Notamacropus eugenii: one gene and its partners. The protein of the gene in region 1 binds, or shares a complex with, the protein of each later gene. Links are inferred from orthologs where the notes say so. Each region holds a gene or a part of one and is shown in the gene's direction. Other genes may lie near its edges.

The links. The genes of interacting proteins can lie anywhere in the genome.
Region 2: HDAC3 (region 1) and TBL1XR1 share a complex: the UniProt entries of both Homo sapiens proteins name them as parts of the N-Cor repressor complex. The link is inferred for Notamacropus eugenii from reciprocal best matches to the Homo sapiens genes HDAC3 and TBL1XR1.
Region 3: HDAC3 (region 1) and CORO2A share a complex: the UniProt entries of both Homo sapiens proteins name them as parts of the N-Cor repressor complex. The link is inferred for Notamacropus eugenii from reciprocal best matches to the Homo sapiens genes HDAC3 and CORO2A.

Annotation. Positions count from the first base shown.
Region 1 is NC_092872.1:369,001,025-369,008,951, reverse strand, and holds the start of HDAC3 (histone deacetylase 3), read left to right. Parts: upstream 1-4,858; 5' UTR 4,859-4,890; coding exon 4,891-4,945; intron 4,946-5,198; coding exon 5,199-5,281; intron 5,282-6,595; exon of another isoform or gene 6,596-6,695; coding exon 6,696-6,838; intron 6,839-7,660; coding exon 7,661-7,742; intron 7,743-7,873; coding exon 7,874-7,927. Other genes in the region: RELL2 (RELT-like protein 2), read right to left, coding at 829-1,204, 1,534-1,719, 2,081-2,147, 2,231-2,296, 3,020-3,278. UniProt on the Homo sapiens protein: Histone deacetylase that catalyzes the deacetylation of lysine residues on the N-terminal part of the core histones (H2A, H2B, H3 and H4), and some other non-histone substrates.
Region 2 is NC_092877.1:346,936,413-346,944,421, forward strand, and holds the start of TBL1XR1 (F-box-like/WD repeat-containing protein TBL1XR1), read left to right. Parts: upstream 1-4,978; 5' UTR 4,979-5,042; intron 5,043-5,199; exon of another isoform or gene 5,200-5,889; intron 5,890-8,009. UniProt on the Homo sapiens protein: F-box-like protein involved in the recruitment of the ubiquitin/19S proteasome complex to nuclear receptor-regulated transcription units. Plays an essential role in transcription activation mediated by nuclear receptors.
Region 3 is NC_092872.1:63,135,223-63,142,872, forward strand, and holds the start of CORO2A (coronin-2A), read left to right. Parts: upstream 1-4,619; 5' UTR 4,620-4,719; coding exon 4,720-4,782; intron 4,783-7,650.

The DNA of each region.
Region 1 (7,927 bases):
GTGCAATAAAGGGGCAAGGAACCCAAGCCAGTGCTTGAGCTTTTGTGTGCTGAGAGGGAGGCCTATTGGGGAGTATTGCTTCAGGTGCCCATCTTGAGCATGGGGCCTGCTCCCAAATTCCACACTCAAGCAGGGGAGCAAGTTGATGAAGGAGGAGTGAGCCTGGGGTGAATGTAGGGGTAACTTCTCCTCACCTTTGACCTGTCTTAGGCTGGAGATGAAGTGGAGGGAAGGGATTGAGAGGCTGGGGACCACTCTCTTCATTCCCAGACTGAGATAATATAGCCCCCAGGAAGAGGGGTTGTTTTGTTTTCCTGGAGGGCAATGCTGTCTCAGAGTGAGGAGAGGGCTTCATGCTTGTCCCTCTTCCCTGCCCAGTCAGCTACTCATCCTTGCAGTAGGGAGTGAAGATAAAGCTTGGGGAAAAGGAGAGGGAAGGGGATAGTCTTCCTGCCTCCTCTAGCCTTTCTCCACCCCTCCCCCTCCACTCTACCTCATGTTGCCCTTCCCTTCTCAATGCCCCTTGGAGCAGTGGTGCCCTTAGCCCCTCCCTCCTTAAAATCAGCTTCATAGGCTGAAGTTTTTTGTTTTTTACCTTGGGGTGCCCGCCCTTCCCTGGAAACAAACACATTTTGGGAGGGCCAGACTCACCTCACACTCATCTTGAGCCACCTGGCGGTAACACCTGAGATAAAGAAGGAAAGGGCTACCATAAACTCTCTAACTTCATCTAGTCAGAAAACTGGACCTACTAAGCAGGGACTGTGGCTTTATCCAGTGACTCTGCCCACCCTGACTTCTCTATACACACATCTGATTGTTGCCTACCTGGAGATCTGAGGCATCCAGTTTGGCTGGCTGTCCATTAGTTTCCCTTCTGGTCAACACTGGCCTTGTGTCCCTCTCTCTGGCTGCTGCCTCTGAGTCTTCCATGGCTCCAGAGGGCTTCTCAGTCAGAAAGGGGACAAGGCTCCTTTCTCTGAGGCCCCCATTCTGTACAGGGGAACTAGATAGGATGCCAACCTCTGGCCCTGATGCTGGAAGTCTCTCTGTGGCAGGAGTTCCAGTCCCAATCTGCCCTTTCCCAGAACTCTGGCCACCCCCTGGGTCCTGCCCACCACTGAAGCCCCAACTTCTATCGATGGGTGAGCCATCTCGATGTTCATGAAGCCCAAGTCTCTTCTCAATATGTGTCACCCGGAACCTGGAAGGGAAGGGAATATGCTGTGACTCAGGATTGCTAGAGGTTCTCTGAACCCTTTCTCCCAACACTGCCCCCAGCACTCCCATTTACTGACATTTGATAGCTTCTGAAAGCAAAGGAATCCTCAGCACATAGATGAATCAACCCCAAGAGTACTCCCTGGCTGGAAACCCTCCTCTTCCCCTACCCTCCAGAATAGGAGGGGAGTAATACTAAGTAAGGAAGCCTGGATAAATCTTCCGGTCAGGCCAACTGTCTTAGAAAGATTTACCACCTGAATGGGAGGCCCTGAATGCTGCCCCCCTCTTCTTTGGGTGCTCTATCCACACCTGCCCACAGAGAATACTGTGGTCTCTCCTGGCCTAGTACGGCCCTTGCCCTCTTTGGATCGGCCCTGTCGGACGAGAGGTGGCCTCTTGTTTCGGCTGCAGTGGATACAAGGGGCTGATGAGCCCAGGTGAACTGTATGGTGATGAGATGGAGTCCCATCCTGGAGGCTTGGAGCACCATCAAGACTGAAAGAATAAAGGAAAATCCTTTCCACTGTGCCCTCTGTGCATCCATTCGACACTCCCCCCCCCACCCCCCATCTTTCTATCTGCCCTATTCTTTCTCCAAACTCTGATTCACACCAAGGAACTAGTGACAACATTTTGTGACTCAAGGCTATTTAAATCCAATGAGGCTACATTGTGAAGTCAATAACTAGCCTAAAGAATGAATGATGGAATTGAGACAGTGATACTTGGATAGCCTGGTGCTCCTCAAATCATAGTGTCCAACTAATTAAGTTGTGACTTTAACAGGGGCTAGTTGTTAAGGAGAAAGTGCTGTCCTGATCAGTATTTGGGGGAATTCTCCACACTTCCAGCTCACCTGGACAGCTGTACTGTTGCCTCACCTTCACTGTCCCCAAGCATCTCTTTCAAGGCCTCAGCATTGGCTGTAAAAGACAAGTGGCAAGAGAATGTCATGGATGTAGGAATGGAGCAGGGGACTGAACAGCAGATGCCAGTGAGCACTTGCCTTCATTTTGGATGATGCATTGGACAATCCTTTCCACTGTGTCCTCATTCACATCCTCATCATCCGCTGTGGAGGGGAGGAAAGGGGTCAACTTCAGGGAAAGAGAGACTGGGGCCAACGCAAAGTCACTGGCCTTTGGATTGTTCCTTTGAGTTTCATGACCACCTTATTTGGCTTCCTGGCAGTTCTAGTGGTTCAAGATCAGTGACCACCATAGGATTACAACTCCAAAGCCATAAAGGACGTTAGAGGTCATAGAGTACAATCCCTTCATTTTATAGATGGTAATATCGAGTCACAGAGAACTGAGGTGGTAGGAGATTGCCAAAGTTTCACAAGGAGGCCGTTCTCTTCCTCCTGCCTCCTTTTCACTTTCCCAGGGGTTCTGTTTCAGCCTACTGTATAATTTCAGGAGTAATGAACCAGCAGGTCCCCAAAATACTTCACGAGACCTCAGTCACTGTGATTTTTGCCTTTTAGTTACTGAACTCACTGCACTCTATCCCCCAAACTAAGCTGCAAAAACTCCCTGACAGGTTAATGAAACATGAACTGTGAGTTATGGATAACAGGGGAGCAAAGGGGGATGGAAGTCGCTCTGGAGGAGTCATCTTCCCACCAGGGGTAGGAGAGAGGAAGAAGAGACCTGGATAAGGTGCACTCAGGAGTGTTAGTGAAAGGTGCAGGTGTGTGTGGCACATACAAGTGTGTGATGGAAGGACGTACAAGGAAGAAAATGAAGGCGGCTGGTCCCTGGTGATGGGGCTCCCCCTCTTTTCCCACACTTACGTGGCTGGAGCTGGGCATCCTCGGGCTCTGAGCCTCTCGATGTCCGACAGCGATAACCCTTCTTCTTGAGTACATGGCAGATCATGAACCCCACGAGGCCCATGAGAAAGAAGACCAACACAAGAAGGAACAGCATGTACAGCCCATGCTGGGGCTCTGGTCCTGGTTGCAATTCCGACATGCGGCCCTGGGGGGCGGGCCGAGCCGGGGTCAGGGCCTCAAAGAGGGATGGAGTCAGGGGGAGGGCGGTGAATTCCATGCTTGGACCCCTACCGGGAGTCCCCCCAGGACCCTCCAGTAAATCCAGAACCCCTTGCCTTCTCAGCCCAGGAGCTGTCCAGGGATTGGGTGCTAGTCAGCCAGGCCCCGGGGCACCTGGTCAATAGGGGTTGCAAGTTGTTTTCCATACTCCTAATCCAACCTTCATCCCTCTTCCCTTTGATATTACGTGCCTTCCTTCTCCCTGCATAAACAAACCCTACTTTCTCCCCATCCCCATTCCTCCCAAGGACACTGTCACTGAAGACTGGACGGAGCTCTATGATGCGGTCCTGGGCATAGTCTGAGTCAGCGCTGGCCCCTCACTTCCTCCACAACCCCAGGTCAGGTCCCCTGAAACGCTCCTTTCCTTCAATACCCCTCAGTTTGTCCCACCGCTCTCCAACTCCTGGCTCCTAGAGACATTCTGGACTCCCCTCCCTCTCCAGAATGCACCCCCCCCCCCCTCAATTCCCCTGGCCCAGCTGACCTTGTGGTCTCTGCACGGCCCCTGGGGATGCGGTATGTATGTTCGGCTTTGGCTCCGGCAGCGTCCTAGTACCTCTCAGCTTGCCCTGGGAGCCCTTCCCGAGAGCATCCTCCTCCCCCCTTCTCCCCACCCCCCAGGCCACCTCACCCGCTCCAGCTCCGGCTCCGGGCTGCGGCTGCTGGTGCCGCGGCGGGCTGGGGGTAGGGGAGTAGGGGTACAGGAAGGCGGAGGATAGGGAAGGAGGGAAAGCGGAAATCGAATTGGGTGCAGGCGTCCTCTGGACTTTCAGGGTTGGGGATGGGAAGGGGATGGGGGGGCCTCTACCGCAGCCACCTCCTAGTCCCGGCTGCTCTCTCTCCGGCTGTGCTCCCTGCGCGGGCACGGGAATAAAGGGGGCGGAGCGGCAGGTGTGTGGGACGGAGTGCGTGCGTGACACCACAGTGTCTGACACGGCTAGGTCTCCGTGTCAGTGTGTCCCACTCGGGGCGTGGGTCTCTCAGGCACCTTGGCCACCGCTGGGTGATATGCCCCCTTGTTCTGGTTCTTGGGTACAACCCGGGAATCTGGGAGCCCGGCAGGTGGGAAGGTGTCAGTTGCCCTTCGGGCAGGATACAGACAGCTCCCTGCACCCTAGGACAGCCTCTCATCCCCAGTGCCCAGGTAGAAACGCGGCGGCGGGATGTGAACCCCCTACTTCTCAGGGTGAATAGGAGGGGGGATGGGATGCCCACGGACTGAACGATTAATAAACCTCTGTGGAATTAAAGGCTTGGAAAATGGGGAACTCTGAGATGCTCAGCTTCTCGGGGACCGATTGTGCACTTCAAGTTCCGCGGATACCCCGGGAACACCCTCCCTCTGGGGCTCGGCCCCACCCTCCCCGCGGTGTTCAGTCACCCCAGCCAGCAGAAGCAGCCAGCCTTGAGGGGGCGGAGCTACCGGAGTCAGGGGGCGTGGCACCTCTGGGCCGGGGCGGGGCCTTGATTTCCCCCTCCCTTGAGCCTTGGAGACCCCAGCGACCTCGGATTCCGCAAGGGGCGTGGCGTCGCGCGATGACGCAGAACGCACGGGCCTGGAGGCGGGGCTGGAGGGCGGAGGCGCGGGGCCTGGTCCCCCTGGTACTATGGCCAAGACGGTGGCCTATTTCTATGACCCGGATGTGGGGAACTTCCACTATGGTGAGAATGGGGAGGAGAACCCCGGGCAGCGAGGTGGGGAATGGGGGAGGAAGAGGGCGGGGGAGTAGGGGGCACGGGCGCGAGCAGGCTCCCTCACCTCTGTCCCCCCACCCCCCACAACCCGGACCAAGTGGAGGATTGGGAGGTGGGGGTGGGGTGGAGCGAGTTCCCTAGGACCCTGGGGAGGGAGGATCCTGGTTGGGCCCTTTGGGGTGGTGACTCGGAGACCCTTCTTTACCACCCCTTTCTCCAGGGGCCGGTCACCCCATGAAACCTCATCGTCTGGCCCTCACCCACAGCCTGGTGCTGCACTATGGACTCTACAAGAAGATGATTGTGAGTGTTTCTCCTCCATCCTCTCCACCACCCCACGATTGGAGAGGGGGTGCAGTGCGGGAGGGGAGTGTGCACTTGCACTTGGGGTGCAGGCTTAGAGGAAATGGGGACAGGGAGACCCCTTCATCCCCTGAGTCATACATAGATAGGTTAATAGGGGTTAGAAAGGTTGTTAATAATGATTGGAAGGGATGTTAGAGATCTCTCTAGTGAAACGCCCTTCATTTTATAGATGGGAAACTGAGGCCAAGAAAGGGGAAGTTAAACAGGTAACCTATGTAGAAAGCCTGTGATTTGAACCAAGATCTTCTGACTCCAAATCCAACATATATATATATATTTTTTTACAATATCACCTCACCTCTCATGCTGTCCCACAGTATCCTTTTATTATCATAGGAAGATGCCAGAACTTTAGTATCCCAACAGAATGAGAGGATACTTTGAGTATGCACCTGTACAAGAGTTAACTCAGCCCTTCCGTCTTTCTGTTTTGGTTTGTATGGCCTTAGGAGGACTCCCTCCAAGTTGAGAGTTAAGGGGCTTGGGTTGGCTACTCATATACTTGGCACCTCTCTGTTCCCCCCCTCCAAAAAAGATACACCCCAAAATCTACCACAGCACACACAGAACCTTGTCTCTGTGGCTACTGGCCAAGGCATATTTCTTTGACATGGTTAGGTCATGGAAGATGAGAACTGAGACTGTTCCGACTCAGAATGGTATGCATATGCATGCCGTTGATGGTCACTTTTAGGATTACTGTTAAATATAAAATCCATAGATGGGTTTGCTTAGAATAGGGTTACTAAAATAGATTGGCTACCCTGTGGAGTCTTTTGATATATATATACTGAATTTGTTTTTCCAGTATTTGTAGAGCTCTGTATTTTGATATAAAAGAGAAAGCATTTACCTTTAGAGAGTGTTCTAACTATTGGAAAAGACATAATCTCCAATTTCAGAAAGCTTCCAATTAATTTGGGGAATCATAACAAAGAGAATACAATAATAATGTACTATATTTGTATATTGATTGATGCTTTTCAAAATATTTTCATGTACAATGTCACATTTGAATCCAGAGGTGATCGGACAGCAGGACTATGGAGAAGGACAGGAAGGAGTGGGGGACCGAGGAAAGGGTGACATGGGAAACATGAGAATGTGGGTGGGGATAAATATAGCAAAATAGTCAATGACTGAATTCAGCATCTTTGCTTTAGCCTCAGATTGATCTTTTTTTTCCATGGGGAGACCTCCATGTAAGAGGGAGTGTGTCTGTATGTGTGTGTGTGTGTGTGGGTACTTGGGTGGGAGTACGTTGGAACCTCTGAGGTTGGACTGAAGCAGTCAAAGCCTCCTAATTTGGAACTAATCCTGCCAAAGTTCAACATGTTTTCTTTATTCCAAGGTCTTCAAGCCATACCAAGCCTCTCAGCATGATATGTGCCGCTTCCACTCAGAGGATTATATTGACTTCCTGCAGCGGGTCAGCCCCACCAACATGCAGGGCTTTACTAAGAGTCTCAATGCCTTCAATGTGGGGGATGATTGGTGAGGGAAGGTCAAGGGACCCTTGATGTGGATCAGTGTTGGTCATTGGGGTGGGGAATTAATTGTAGAGAAGAAGGAGGGAAGTTATGGGGAGAAAAAGACATAAGGTACTGTGTCAAATGTAATTGGGGACACACAGAAGTACAGTTTTGAACTTGAGGAATTTATATTCAAGTTGGGGAGACCTGCCATATAGGGTAAGTAGTACAAACTCCCAAACTTTTTAGCTTGGCCTTGAGGGTTATTCCTGGTCTTTCTTTTAAACTGACTCTCCAACTTTGTCTTTTGCTCCTCCCCTACACGAACTGCCAACTGATTTTCTTTTTTCCTCAATATGCCATGCATATTCTGCTTTGCCCATGTCCTTCTACCTATTTAAATTCTACCAGTTGTTTAGCTCAAGTTCCAAATCCTGCATGAAGCCTTCTGGTGGCTGCAGCCTCATTATTTCTCCTTCCTCTTATTTCCTATAGCATTTTTGGCTGTACTATTGACTTGACACTAATTATATGCTATGTTATGATATCTCTTAAATTGTTCTTCATTTTTCTTTATGTGTGTCTTTCCCCACAGTGCCTAGAATAGTGTTGGGCAAATATTAGGTGTGCAATAAATAAATAACATTCTCTGTGTGTGTATATACATATATATACATATATACACACATACTTTTTTTTTTTTAATAAAAAGACGAATGAATAGGATGGAAGGTAAAAGAAAGAGGGCCTAAATTGGATTAGGTGTATTGCCTGAGAGGGTGTTCAGTTTCTTGAGAAAGGAGCCAAGGCTCTGAGTGATCCAGCCATGACCTCTGTCTTACAGTCCTGTGTTCCCAGGCCTCTTTGAGTTCTGTTCCCGTTACACAGGTGCTTCCCTGCAGGGAGCTACACAATTGAACAACAAGGTAAGCATATCCTTGTCCACCCCCATTCATCCACTGCTATGGTATCCACAACCACTGAGCTTTTGCCCCATCCTCATGTTCCCTGTGCCTTAGGTATGGGGAGGGCTATGATTTGGATGTTTGTCCTTTAGATCTGTGATATTGCCATTAACTGGGCTGGAGGACTGCACCATGCTAAGAAGTTT
Region 2 (8,009 bases), on another chromosome or scaffold:
TCTCTTTCTTAATCTTGTGGGCACCAGTCTTTGGAATGCTTCATTTAAAAGTTACAAAGTAGTTTCTTCCTTCTAGAAACACATTACCATTATATTCAGAGAAGAGGGAGGTTTTCATTTTGGGAGCCAGCTCTGAAAATCAGCAGAATAGGGTTGCTCCTTTGTCCTTAACTCACCCCATGGTGCCTAATTATTGCTTGAATTTCAATGTAGTTTGTAAATTCAAACACCGGATATGTTGCAACCTGAGAGGGTGAAGTAACAATTGCCTATGACCTGTCTGTGGTAACTCTATGTGGGGTTCACATTAAGGTCCTCTTGTCCCGACAGTTGAGTAGCCTGATAATAGAAATTAGACATAACCCCTAACTGCGGTCTCTTTATGTCATTGATGGCTGTAGACACAAAGCAGAATAGTTGCCATTTTGGGGAACTTTCATTATTACAGAGAATTTCCCTTCCCCCACTCCAGTGCAGCAGGCTTTTTCCAGAAGCAGGGTAGGTGGGGTAGGGTGTATGCAATTTGCTTAGAGATTTTTTATATCTGTAGATCTCACTTTTTTTGGGGGGAGGGAAATGGGGAGTGGGAAGGGTGGTGAACTCTATCTATTAATTTCCCCTAAGATTTAAGGTTTTTGTTTTGTTTTTTGAGGTGGGGGAAGGTGGGAGGCCCCTGAGAGGTTTACTTATAACTGGAAAGAAGGCCACTAGCTTTGGACTGAGAGAACTTGGCTTCCAATTCTATCTCCAATGCTACCTGAGCTACCCCCCCCCCTCCCCAAGTTCCTTTAGACTCCTTGGGCCTCAGTTTTCTTCCTATAAAAATGGAGTCTATGTGGTTAACCAGATGGCCTCTGAGCTCCCTTCAAATTCTAAATCTCTGATCCTATGACAAAACTATGGAGGAAGTCCTGCTTATTGACTTTGTCTCATGCAAAGGAGAAGGCAGTAAAGTGGGGAGGGAGATACATGGAGGCAACCAGACTCTGCACCTGCTGCCTCAGGTTCCTGCCTCCAAGCCTGGAATGTTCTGCTTCATAGGACCTCTCACAGTGTAGTTTAGATCTTAAATCTACAGGAAGCCTTTCTGCACTGTCTCCTTCTTTCCCCTCCCTCCTCACGTACTTTCTCTTTCTCTGTTTCTGTCTCTCCTCTCCTCTTTCTGTCTCTGTCTCCCCTTAGGATCATAGATTTAGAGCTGAAAGAGGCATTAGAGACCATTTAATTCAATCTCATGCTAGAGAGGTAGAAATTGGAGGAGGTTAGGATTTAACCAAAATCACAAAGGTGGGAGACCCAGCTTCTGAGTTCCTGTCAGGACCCACTGACTCATTTTAGGGTCACTGCTCTCAACTGTGTAATGCTGCTTCCCTCACAGTGTACATCCTTTTCTCCTAGAAAAAAATGTAAGCTCTTAGAGGACGGGGATGGGTTCATTTCTATCTTTGTATCCCCACTCAGCCTCTAGTGCAATGCCTGGCATGTAGTAACAACAGTAAAAATAATAAGGTATAATAAGCACTTATGTGGCACTTTATGGCTTGCAAAGTGCTTTACAAATACTATCTCATTTGATCCAGCACCCCTGGGAGGTACTTGCTATTATCCTGATTTTACAGACGAGTAAAATGAGTCAGAGGTTAAGTGACTTGCTCAGGGTCACATAGCTGGTAAACAGCTGAAGCCGGTTTTGAACTCATGTCTTCCAGACTCCACTATAGGTGGTCAATAAATACTTGTTATGTTGTGATCAATAAACACTTGCCAGATTGAATTGAATCCTGATCTGCTTTCAAATCTCTGATTTAAAAGAACAGCTCCTATTACAGAAAATAGTACACTCCAAGAAAAGAGGACTCAGAGAAATTATTTTTGCATGTGAGATGGCCTGAAGGCCCAACATGTATGAATCTGTTTCACTGGTTTTTTGAGGTCTTGGGATCACACGAGAGAATAGCAGAGCTGAATAGACTTTTGAGATCATCTTCTCCAACCCCCTCATCTGGAAGATCAGGGAACTGAGGCCCAGAGAGATGAAATGAGTTGTGATAAAGAACTCCCAATTGAGCTGAAGTGAGCTCCCCCTCACTGGAAGTCTTGAAGCAAAGACTGGATGATTGACCACTTGTCCTGGGGGTAGTGGAGGACTTTTTTTTTTTTTTCCTACTATGGCCTAGGCTAATTGGTACTGACATCTCTCCCGATGCTGAAACTGTGTCTGTCCTAGAGAGTTGATCTGTCCTAGAGAGATGATCCCCCCTCCTCCCATACAAATATTATACAAATTGTTAACTAACTCCTAACCAGCTAGGTATTTTCAGGTCTTTCAGAAGCCAAGACTAGTTCTCTATCCCCACTACACTACCCTCAGGACCTAAGACTACATTTACAGGTAAGATTACAGGTCAGCATCATGGAGGGAATTTCCTAGATTCCATTCCACCTTCAAAAAAAAATACTACCATAAAATTGAGTATATTGGAATTATATTAATTCTATGGTGTGATTTGGAGGTCTTGTGTGTACTTTGTACGGAGGACATTCACTTAAAGATAACATGTCGTATATATTCTCTCTTTTATGTACAAGGATGACTTCTCACACATGCTTAATAAGGAATAGAAAAGCTTGGAGTTGGATTCCCCCCCACCCCCTGCCCAGTGGCTGTGGCCAGTTTCTACTTATGCTCCTTTTCTCAGTTCCTGTGGTGACCAAAGCTGTGCACCTGCACGTTAGCTGGGCATAGACATCGCTGAACTCTAAGGCCATACTAGAGAAACTGAGTGGCCCCTAGGGATAGGCTGAATCCTTTGGCCTTAGCCTCATCATTTAGGCCTCTAACCAAAAAAGCTACCAGACTATGGGCAGATAGATAACTGGAAGATTTCTTCAAGGTATTTAGTTAGTCTCTGAAAACTTATCAATGATTTTAAATGAGTATTTTCTAATGTATTTTAGCTACATTAAACTCATTGTGCATGAGTTGAAGAAAACACTGTTAAGAATATTCATTTTGAAGAAAGTCCAACACACAAAACCCCTTGCTTAACAAGTACGTAGAAAGGAACCACTTTACTTAGAAGAAAGTAATTATTCAAAAGAAAGCAAAATCTGTTACAAATTATATTTTCAAAACTGGATTGAAGGCTTATAATGTGGTCTCTCTATGCCACAAAAGAGATTACCCCCCCTTTTTCTATATGCTTTAGAAAGACTGCCCATCTTATTTTCTTTAAATGGTGACTATTCACCTCTTTCAATTTGATTTAATAAACATTTACTCACAGTTTACCCTGTGCCAGGCACTGTCCTTAAAGTTCAGGGAGCTTAGGTTTTACTGGATAGAAACTTCAACGAAACCCTGCCCCCCTGCTCCTTCCCCTCCCCCCTAGTTTAACCACCCCAGCACATTATCACTTTTCTAAGTAATATTTTATGGCTTGTGCTGATGGGATACACACCTATCAAAAGTAAAAGGTGAGAAAACTTCCCTGGTCTTTGCTGCTGTTGATGCAAATATTTGGTAAACACGTAGCAAATCATCTTATTTTTGCTAAAAAATGAGAGAGGATAGAATAAACCTTTAAAACAAGACCCAGCCTAAGATCAATACGGCCAAATGCCTAACGTACAGTACATTTGGGTAGAAACATCCCAGTTGTAATGCGGGGTCGAGTGTGTGTGCCTACCCTTTTCCTGGTTTTTTCTTCATGATTTTAGGGGTCTAGAGAGAAATTAAAGTCAGCGGCCTATCAGAGATGAAACAGAACCACCCTGTACACACAGACATGTGCGCGTGCTTGCACAGCTCCGCCAGCGAGCGCACACGTACGGGCTCTCCGGGCGCAGAAGCCTGCACGGATCCTCCGCCTCGATGCTTTATGTAACCATGTCTATTTCATGATCACGTGTGCGGATGGTGGAGCGGAGAGCATCCCCCCACCCGCTGGAGCCCTGGGCAGCGGGGCGTCCGGGCCATCGCAGGACCCTTCCCGGGAAAGTGTCCTGGGGGTCCTCCCGGCCCACCCCAGCCCCTCCCTTCGGCTAAGCCCCGGAAATGAAATGCCCTTGGTGCCTGCATCTCTGAACGTGCCCCTGTTTTCTGTGCCTGCCTTTTAGAAAGGAATGGGCATCCCAGCCCCGTCCTCCCCCGGCGGCCTGCAGCAGCTGGGGCAAGCAGGCCAGCGGCCAGGCTCCCGCCGCCTCCCCCCTGCTGGGCCCGGCCCGTTCTCCCCCTCCCCCTCCAAGCTCCATTTCCCCAGTCCCTCCTTTTCCTCTTCCCTCCTCCTCTCCGTCTCCCCTCCCACTCCCCAGTTCCTCCTCCCTCCCCTCCCCGTCTCCACGCCGCTTTCCCCTCCCCGCTCGTTTCTCCTCCCCTCTCCCCTCCCCCTCCCCGGCGTCTCTCTCCCTCCCCCTCCCCCTCCCCGCCCCGGGCGGGCGCTGGCTGCCTGCGCCGCTCTGCGCCGCGCTCGGGTTTGTTTGGCTGTGCGGCAGGAGCCGCCGCCGCCGCCGCCGCCGCCGCCGCGGGCCTCGCGAGCTCATTTGCGCCTGGCTGGTCCGGCCCCCTCCCCCTCCCCCTCCCCCGGCCCGCTCCCCTCCCCCTCCGCGCTCGCTCCCCGCGCCCCGCGCCCCGCGCCCCGCTCCCCGGCGCGGAGACTCCGAGCCGTTGGCCGCCCGCTCCGAGCCGCAGGGCTCCAGCCTCCGTGCTCCGCTCCCGCTCGCGGCCCGGCGGCGGCGCGGCGGCCGCCCCCTCCCCCGGCCCGGCTCGCGCCCCCCGCCCCCGCCCCGGCCGCCCCCGCGCGGAGCAGGGAGGCGGGCGCAGCTGGGAGGGCTCCTCGGCGGCGGCGGCGGCGGCGGAGTCGTCGCGCTGCCCGCCCGGAGCCCAGCCCGGAGCCGAGGCCGCTCCCGCCCGGGCTGCGCGGTCCGACCAGGCGCCTGAGGCCGGCCGGCCGGGGGCACTCGCTGGGCCTCCACTGCGGGCGGGAGGGGCGGCCGAGCCCCGGCCCAGCCCGGCCCAGCCCAGCCCCGGGGAGCGGCGCCAGGTAAGGAAGGGGGAGCGGGGACGAGGCCTGGGCGGGCGGGGGGGTGGTGGACGTGGAGGGGAGGGGGCTGCGCCGACTCCCGGTGGCGGGCGTGGGGGCTGGGCCCAAGGCTAGCACATTTTCCACTTGGCCCTTTGGGGAGCGGGTGTCTGACGGGGCGCTATTATTATCCTCGGTATTGGGATGGAGCCTCCCCTCCCCCTCTCCGCCCCCGCCGCCTCAGCAAGGTGATCCCGCTCCCGGTTCCGTTTGGGGTTTTTTTTAACCCTCCCCCACCCCCCATGCACCCTCCACCCTCCGAGCCTTTTCCCTCCTTTGGGGAAGGCTTTCAGGAAAAGAATTTGCAGCCGATAGAATTAGGAGCCGTCGTTAGGCAGCCTCCTTCGGAGCCTATTTTTAGCGAGGAAGGCGCCTTTCCGGGCACATTTATGATTATTAGTAATTTTCTGCAGCCCACCCGCGGCCAGCCGAAAGAACACCTTGGTTACTTAAAACGGGGGAAAACCGCCCCCCCCCCTCCCGGGGCCGACCCCGGGTCCGGGCACCTTCCCCCGGTTGGGTTAGGATAGTTTTCGGTCGTGTAAATTTCAGAAAACGAGGGATGTAATTGGAAGGATGAAAAATGTGCTTGGTGTCTGAACTCCTGCTGAAGGGGGGAGGGGAGGGAAAGCGTAGACACGCCGTCCTCACTTTCCCACTGGGTGATTGGGGTTTCCTTTCTCTTTCTGGGAGCTGCTTCTTTGTAACTTAGTTACTGTTGCTGAAAATTTTATCTTCAGGAAGTGTTCAGGAGAGGAGTGTGTTGGAAGTTGTTATTAAAAGTGTATTTCAGCAAGGGAGTTTGCTGGTAAGTTTCAGCTAGAACGGTCACCGTTTTTTTTTTTTTTTGACAGTGTAAAGGCCACGTTGTTGGTATAAAGTAGCTGCAGTTCGATGGAAATTACCCTATGGAGGTGTTTTTTCAGCCGAAGCAGACTTTTATTTATGTAGAAATGGACCTGAGGATGTAGTGTGAATGATTTCATGAATGCATTACCATATACTCAACGCTTTTAGGGAAGTTATAATTTTGGAACATTAACCACTTTATATTTTCAGCCAAGATCAACTTAATGCACTGAGCATAGATGTATGTAGTAGGCTTTGGGGTAAAACTTTATGTGGGATTGGTACTCTTTCTCATGTTGAGCTTTCAAATAATGTCGCTCTCTTCAAAAAACATGCTTTTGCAAGTTACAATTGAGTGATCCTAAGTCAGGCTTAAAATGGTTGTAATGTTTTTCAATGTTAATGTTCATTAAAACCTGGCTTGGTGCAGCCCTCTCTTCTCGTTTAAAAAAGGTCTTATTATGGGACATTTTACTATCTAATTTAAATGCTCTGCTTTGGAAATTTTACTTAGAGTCACGTCCAGTTTCCTTGTTTTCCAAATAAGAATTCCTTTTGTGGATTTGCTAGCTATGCTGAATCAAATCGGGTTGTTGAAGGCATGGGTAATTATTTGAGCCTGATTGGTTTAATTTTTTTCCCCCTTTGCTAAGTTGTAATTAAGTAATAACCTCTCTTCCCTTTCCTGGGGATTCCCTCTTGTGTGTGGATAATAAGGGGTCCTCATGATGTTTTCTTCAACATGCCTAAAGCAATTTGGAATTGTGGGGTGGGTTTTTTTTTTTTATGCTTTTAGGCAAATGCTAGTGACTGTGCTGAAATTCCCGTGGTGACTTCTTTTTTTGTTGTTAAGTGAGACACGGTGCCTCTTCGGTGTGTTATTAATCCCAGATCACTTGAGACTGTGTTCTTGCTATCTCAAGTTGTTAGTCTGGAGAGTCAGGACAGCTTTGTTTGTCTCCATGAAAACAGGGTTTTATGTCGGGTTGTTCCATGGGAGCTTAATGGCAGGCCTCCCAGATTATCATTGACAACTCCTAGAAGTATTTAGCATTTGCTTCTTGGGGAGGGAGGGAGTACAGTGAGGGTGGCAGAGGAGGAGGAGTAGAAAGAAAAATTGGCTAACCACTTAAGTGTTTGGATTCTTGATGCTACTTTATGAAAGTTTTTTCCTTTATGTACTTTCAGTCTTGTTTGAAATCTCTTACATTTTTTAAAAAAAGTTTGCTTTGAATATTCCATACAGCTAATCAACCATTACCTGTACTTGTGAGAGATGTGAATTTCAATTTATTTAAAAGATAAGGAAATCATCAACATTATTGCAGTGACGTATTGATTTTTTTACTTAAAGTACATTATTAACTAGATAGGAATTAATGGAAAAAGAGGTGTCAAATTCCCTATTTTAAATGGAAATAAAAATCAGTACCCATAAGAAAATGATTTGTGTGTTAAGAAGAAAGTTTTTCTTAAAAGTAAAGATTCAGATGCGCTCCGTATGTTATTTTTAAAACACCCTAAACTTTTTTGTTGCAGAGTTTAGTCGTTGCTGCCAGACTAACACTGCTTTTTACTTACACTAGTTTTTGTGGGATGGATTGGTTCCTTTTGTGTGTATATTTTGTATTTACTTGAGAGATTACATAAAATTTAACAGCTTTTTTGCACACACCAGAAATCTTTCCTATGTTTTAATATCTAAGTAAGATTGTTGATAATAGTACATATATAACAAAAGAACCAGTTTTCTTTACACTGAATAACTTACTTTCGTGAACTCAGGGCATTTCAAACTAATACCCAGAAAGGAAAGGAGCACAGAATAAGCATACACATTACCCGAAGAGGAGATGTGATTAATGGACCCTTTGAATGACAACCTGTTGAATAAATATATCTGTTCATGTATGGTAGTGAAACATAAATAAAACCTTGTCAGATGAATGGCTGACAAAGGAAACCACCTTTTATAATTGATTACAGTGCTGTTGCATAGAAAGAAATTCTGACTAGCCATGTTTGGGTGAAGTTGGGAGGGAGGGTTTGGTTGATGTTGCTCACTTCTCTCTTCATTTT
Region 3 (7,650 bases), about 310 Mb from region 1:
AACACTTGCTGAAAACCAATGGACTTTCATTTAGTAACTCATGACCCCAACAGCCATTGAAGCCCCTTAATGTTCAGTGACAAAGAAAGAGAGAGAGACAGAGACAGAGACAGAGAGAAGGAAGGAAGGAAGGAAAGTACTGGCTTCTAATGAATTAATTCAATTCACTTCTCCCCAATAGGATGAAAACTGTTCATTTTTATTCCCATTTCTCTATCAGTGGGATAATAGGCATTGTATTCATTGAAAGGGAGAACTTTCTTTAGAAGCTTCTTTCTTCCAGAAAGATATTGTAGGAATGTCAGCTTTGTTTTTTCTTAGATAACATGGTGTAGTGTGTGTTTTGATGTTCAATATTCAAATGCTTTTAATCTGAAAAGCTATCTTTCCTGAGTAGAAGACAGGGGATTAGAACATGAGGGAGTGGTCGAGTGGAAGGTGGTCTTCTGCCCATACTCAAGAATAGAAAGTGCTACATGGAGCAGTTGTGCTGGAAGAAGCCATTTTGGCACCCAGACTCAATGTTATAGTACTGAATGAGCACTGACTTAGGGTCAGAAGACGAGTCCAGCTCCTGGTTCTTCTACTTACTATGCAACCTTTAGCAAATCATCTCTGACCTTCAGTCACCTCAACCAGAAAAGTGTGGGATTGAACTCCATGACATCGAAATCTCTAAAAACATAAGATTCTTTTAAATTGGCTCTTAATCTTCATTTTCCCCCCTCCTACAACTTCACCCTTGTTATGCACTGACTAATTGGAAATATGGCAACTTCAGCCTTGGGGATTCTTTCACCAAAAGTGAAATTCCTAAGATAATCTACTGCTCATCTCCATAGAGGCCACATTTTTCATCCTAATAATAATAGAAATAATAATACCTTTGAGTTTTTCATTTTTCGAAAAACATCTGAATCTCTTCAATCCTCTCTCTCTGGTTTGCTTTCTGGCTTCAACCTCTACTTCTCTAGGAATGATTCCCAGTTCTACATCTTTCACCTGCAGAGTAGGAAGAAACCTTAAAATGTCAGAGTTGGAAGCGATCTTAGAGATCATTTGGCCAAGTTAACTTTTTGATTTCATAGAAGAGAATATTAAAGCCTAGCAAGGAAAAGAGACGTTGTTGGTGAATCAAGAGATTGGGCCATATACTTCTTAAAATACACGAATTGATATCGCAGGCAACATAATTGTGGGATAGGAACTGGATGCATGATTCTACTGGTGAAGAAATCATTCCCAGGTGAGGAAATTCCTCCTATCAATGCAGGTTAGAAACTACTCTGTAACTTATAGTCTTTGTGAAAATTTTATTTTTATTTATTTTATGAATATTATATTACATGTATTTCTTTTATTTTTAATTTATGGAGTAAAACAAGCATTTTCATAATAGAGTATAATTTTTAAAAAGATGATTGCATATGAAACTGCAAATCTGTTATGTACAACTTGCTGTTTCTTTTAAATACATAATGCAATTATCATGTAAATTTCTTTTTTCTCCATTTTTTCTTCCCTTGCCTCCTATCCTAACTTATAGTCTTAGAGAATTGCCTAGAGCACATAGAGTTTGTGTGTTATACCCAGAGTTGCACACTTAGCATGTGTCAAAGGCAGGGCTTAATCTTAGACCTTTCTGGCTTCAAGGCCAGCTCTCTGCCCACTATACCCCTGCTTCTCAGGGCTTCCCTAAAAGAGAGTTCTAGAGGAAGCTTCCTATGTCCTAAAGCAGATCCCTCTTATTGAGGACAGTTTCACTGCAGAAATCCATCCACTTTTAGTTAGCCAGAACATTCCTTTCATCAGAAGGCTCGCACCCCTTGCCACATGCTAGGAGATCCTCGATGAGACCCTTGTCAATGGTAGATAACTCAGCTGTTGTTATTGTTTCTTCCACCTGGGCTCCCAGCCAAAGGAGCTACGGGTACAGAGTGGGAGTGAATGAAAGAAGGGGAAAAAAAGAGGAAACTTGAAAAGTCACATATGTATGCCTGAAACCTGCACTGGAGGCCCCTTTTTAAGAATGGGAAACCAGGAATAATCTCCGCTCATCTGATGCAGGCAGACAACATGGGGAATGCCTCTGAGACATCACAAGTCCACACCCTGGACCAACACAGACATACCTCCTGCTCACCACAGTTAGGATGCATGGGAATAAGAAAAGAGAGAGAGCCTTGTTCCTCCAGGACTCAACCAGCCCTTCCCCTGTGGTTGATCCTTATCAGCCACACAGTACCTCACCACCATGCATAGGCCAGTTTGGTCCAAGATGCATCAGCTACCTCTCATTTCACTCCCTTAAATATCCTGGCAGAAATGCTGGTATCATTGGCTACCACTCAATTCTGCTTCAGGGGATGTCCCCAGGGAATCTCCCAGTGCCACCTGAGGACAGGTTGCCTGTATTTGCTTCCTTTTTGCTGCCCACAATGCACTATCCTTCCTACCATACTGCTGCAAGTCCTCTGGGCTACTTAATTCAACCCAAGGATTTATCAAGCACCTATAGTGTGCGAGTTAATGCTTCCTCTATTTCCATTGCTTTCCATCCAAGAAGAGCCTGAGGACCCTCCCACCCCATTTACCCTCCCTTCTGCACCTATATTGATAGATTGATGAACTGTCAGAGCTGGGAGAGGGATCATGTTTGAAGGCATCAAATACAATTCCCCGATTTTACAAATGAGCAGACTGAGGTACAACAAAGTGACTTAGCCAAGGTCTTGAGGGGAAGAGAAGGAGAAAGACTAGACCTTTGATATCATCAGTATAAGAACTTTAAGAAACTGCCTTTACCAGTGAAAACGTACAACTCTTCTGCAGCTTATATCTTAGAAAGTCTGTTGTTGTTCAGTCATGTCCTAGTCTTGATAACCCCATTTGGGATTTTCTTAGCAAAGATACTGGAGTGGTTTGCCATTTACTTCTCCAGCTCATTTTACAGATGAGGAAACGGAGGCAAACAGAATTAAGTGACTTGCCCAGAGTCACATAGCTAGTAAGTGTCTAAGGCCTCTCTTTACCTAGAAACACATTCAGAGGCAAAGTCTCTTGACTAGGGTCAGCCAGTCAGTATGTGTCAGAGGTGGGACTTGGGCTCAGGTCTTTCTGACTCCCAGACTAGCTCTTTGTCCCGTGCCCATGATGCTTCTTCAAAGGTCCAAGGTAATATAGCCAGTTAGCAGTAGCTGGTTCCAGGACTTGGGTCATCCGAATCCTGGTCTAGCACACTATAGGGTGCTAATTCTTATTCCCCTTCAAGGAAAAACAAAAACATTATTCAGATTTGCTAAGGAAAGAGTATGTGTTTGTAAAAGCCAGTGGATGGGAATGATTGATGGATCACTTATCTCACTAAAGGGTTATACATGCTGGGGGGGAAAAAGACAAAATTACTAACTTGAAGAAAGAACAGTACTTAATACAAGAGATTTCCACCTGTGTATCAGTCCTGGATTGCAGGGCAATGATCCTGTTTTGATACAGAAAAGAATCTGAATGCAAGGAGTAAACCAGAAAGCAGCTTCAGAATTCCTTCTCTTGGAAATTGGAGGATGCCCCCTAGCCACCACTCTGCTTCTTGTTTCATATGCGATGCAACCAGAGGATTTGCCAAAACTTGCTTATTATTAAATAATCATAATCTTTTTGCATTTATGTGATTTTTTTTTTTACAATCACTGTGAGATAGATACAGTGCAGGTATTATAATCCCTATTTTATGGATGAAAGAATTGAGGCTGAGAGAATTAAAATGGTCATCATCTTATGATTATCAGTTAGGACTTGACGGAGGTCTCTAGATTCTCAGGCTAGTGCTTCATCCATCATTCTATTTGACCTCTGTGAGTTCAAGAAAAGTAATCGATCAGTCGACAAGCAATTTTTAAACATAGCTATGTTCCAATTAGTGGGAATAATGAATCACCTGAAGTGGTCTCATTGGTTTGAATTCTCACTATTTATTTCCATTGGGTTGGAGCCAATGACCATATTTTACATAATCGTAACTTTGAATGGTACAATATGTAACATAAACATTAAGACAAATATATACATATATATATATATGCACAGAGACAGAAACATAGAGAAAGAGATACATGCATTCATACAGACACACATCCAAGATACATACACATTAGATGAAACGTAATCCCAAACAAAGCCAGGATGATTTCTGGAAGCCAAGGAAGGTGCAGCTTTTGGGGAACTCATTCTCCCACGGGCCCTATGCAGGCTCAAGCTTGATCCTATCTCTTGCCAAAACACTCCCTGTGCCTGGGCCCTATGGACCTGGGGGTTTCTGAAGGAGATTCTTTTCCAAGCCTATTTAGGAAAGGATAAAGGAAAAGGCAGAAGAGATCTCCCAGAAGGGAAATCTGAATTAAGCAAGACTGAGACCAATCTCTGAAGTAATCTATGCTGGCAACAGCCCTGGGCATCAGATAGGAGGCTTGACAACTGTGGTGAAGCAGGTTAGTCAAACAAAGTGCAGGCAACAGATTCCCCCAAGGTCACAGGTAAACAGGCCAGGACTGAGTGCCCACACTGACACACCCCTCTGACAGACAGAGTTTCAAGTTCAAATTTCATTGTCGTTTGCTACACACCCATACATAGGCTGGGCTGGGCTAGAAGAGGAAGATGTGTCGTTCTAATATGATTCCTCTTAAGCTGAGGCTGTGTTATTTTCTCGGCATTTGAGAGATGGCCAAGAGGCAGGAACCCAGCGATCCAAATTCTTATCTTTCCTCAACAACTAAAAAGATGGTAAGTCACCAGAACCCAGAGTGGTGGTGGGTGGAGGCAGGGGAAGAAGGCAGACTATCTTTACCTTCTCCAGTTGTCTGAGATTCTGAGATATGTGACTGTTAGTTTCAAATCTCGGAAGTGCCAAAGCTGATTTTGTTAGCTTTTAGACAAGCGGACACAACAATCATTCTAAGAATATTTAGAAGGCAAAATCAAGACGTTGAAAACAATGATCACATTTTGAGTAAGGTGATGAAAATACTTCCATGTGAAACTCCATATTTTCATCCAGGTTAGTGAGGTGGAGGACAGAGGAAATGTGGAGTGAACCTCTTTCCCCTTTGGTTACTGACTTTTAATTGAATAATTTTAGAATTATCTGTTAAGATTAGCACTTGGAGTGAGGGAACCTCTGGGAAGGGAAAGAAGGAGATCAAACTCTGGTGCTCTATAGAGTTCTGGGGAGGAGGGCTTTAAGGGGAGAGAGCACAAAAACACAAAGCCATCCGGAAGTAGTTAGACCTGCATTGAATTAAAAGGTATTTATTAGAAGTGCCTAAGAGTTATATGTTCTGAAAATATGGTATTATGGAAAACACCCTGGATTTTGGATCAGAAAATTTGTGTTTGAGTAACAGCAGCTCCTTGTTATCTACATGACCTTTGGCAAGTCATTTAATTTTTCTGGTTCTAGTTTTCACTTCCATAAAATAGTGGAAGGAAGGAATGAGTGGCAAGATGATCTCAAAGGTTTCATTAGCCCTAGAGAGTCCAAATCTATAGGTCTTAATTATTTCTTTAAAGAGAGAAGTGTCTTGTGACATGCAACTCCCAAGCTGGGACAACTTGGAAGTGATTCATTGGTTCTCCTTAGAGAGGTATTGGAAAGTTTTGAGAAAGAGCAAATGGAGCTCCTGGCTAGATCTGGAATCTTCCATTGGATGGGATGTCTGGTAGGATGTTGGGGGAAAGGAATATTGGTTTGGTAACTTACATAGGGATATCTAGGGAGCAGCAGAGTTGAATGCCTATCACCTTGTTCCTAGTAAAAGAATTGTATTTCAATAAGGATTATAGTAACTAGAGAGTGGAGGGAACAATAGGAGGTGGTGATACAGTTGTAAACTTTTCCTCTCTTGAGAGTATGTGAATTGGCATCTGAAACTTGTATCTCCCAATGTCATGTAAAGAAATAGAAGTTCATTTCAGAGAGAATTTCTGAATCAGAGGATATAGGAATCAGAGAATTCAGAATCATAATCCTGAGTTGCTGGGAGGAGGACAGTGAAGCTGAATGGGGTACCTAGAGGATAATCTCTCTGTCCTTTATCAGGGTTCATGCTCTCCAAGGCCTTCCCTGCTCATTCCCTGAAATGTGTGTACTCCTTTAACTTTGCCATTGCCTATCTGGCCATCTATTCAGTGAACTTACCTGATCATTGCTTTCCTGAACTCTCCCGTTTCCTAGATGGAAGAAAAGAAAGAAAAACTTTAGTGGATGGAATGGGAAAGTAGTACAGGTGAGAGGCAAGGAAACACAGTGTGTAAAGAGAAGAAATAAAAGCTCTTGGGTTCTTGTATAGGAGCAAGCGTTATTTTGTTTCTCCCCACCCTATTGCCTTCCCAGAAAATTAAACCCTTATTGCAGTCATAGCTGAAATCATCAGAATAGGCACATTTCGGGGTGAGAACAGGGAGCTGATCCAGGATACTTTGTAATCTCAGTTAATACTTCTTGGGGACACATGTATCTAGGTACATGCACTATGTACCTCTATCCTGTATCCTGCAGAGGTAGGGAAGCGTATAAAAGTTGTGGATAGTGAGGAGGCAGAAATTTAAAGCTCACACCAACCTCCAACCCCTCTCTAGTGGGCTGTCAAACTTTCCCAGGTTTCTCCAGGATAAACCTTTCTTGTTGTGTCAGCTAAATTTCCCAGAGGAACTAAAGGGTTTTCTTGCATTATTGTAAAAATAGTCGTGAAATGTCTCCCATGACTGCGTGTCTCTAGATCCTACATTTGTACCTCCCAGAGATTATGTTCAGGCTTCTCTTTCATACACGGTGAGATCACAGAGTCTTGGGATTTAGATCTACCAATGTTACCTAGTAGGGATTGTTCGGTTATCTACTTGTTCTCACTAACCCACTATAAATTCCAACCTAAGAATTCCTTAAGTTTAAGGTTCTAAGCTATGAGAAACGAATCCATTGTCTACTTTATAAACTCTTTAGGTTTTAAATTCATACACGTATACACACACATGCACATGCACACACATGCATGTATATTCAGTTTACTTATAATGAGAGATACTGGTATGCATATGTTCCTTTTCTCTCCCTAAACCTCACTATCCTCATCTGTAAAATAAGAATAATTCTAACTGTACTACCTGCCTCACTATAAGGAAAGCATATTATAAGCCTTAAAGTGGAGCATATTTGTCAATTATTAGTATTTTTTCATGTCTTTGACTTATGTGGCACATTTCAGACTTGAATCCAATGAATACTTATTAAACACTTGCTATGTTCAGAGTACTAAGTACCAGGGAAATAAAGATCAAAGTGACAAAAGTCCTCCCTTCAAGGACTTTAGTTTCAACTGAAGAGGTATAACATAAATAAATAAATACAGGATTAATGCTCTGTTGAGAAAACTATGAAAGTGTTTAGCCCATCTCTTAGGATTATATCCTTATCACTAATTAATATGGCTCCATCAGCACAGAGCAGTTGAGGTGTTTGGCCCATAATGAAGTAAGAGAAAATACAACTACCTGAGAGAATTAAAGAAAGAAAGGCTTTATGGAGTAGTTGGTGCCAAAAAGTTTTCAGAGGGGCAGAGCTAAGGAAAAAAGGCAGCTTTTGACAACTGCAGG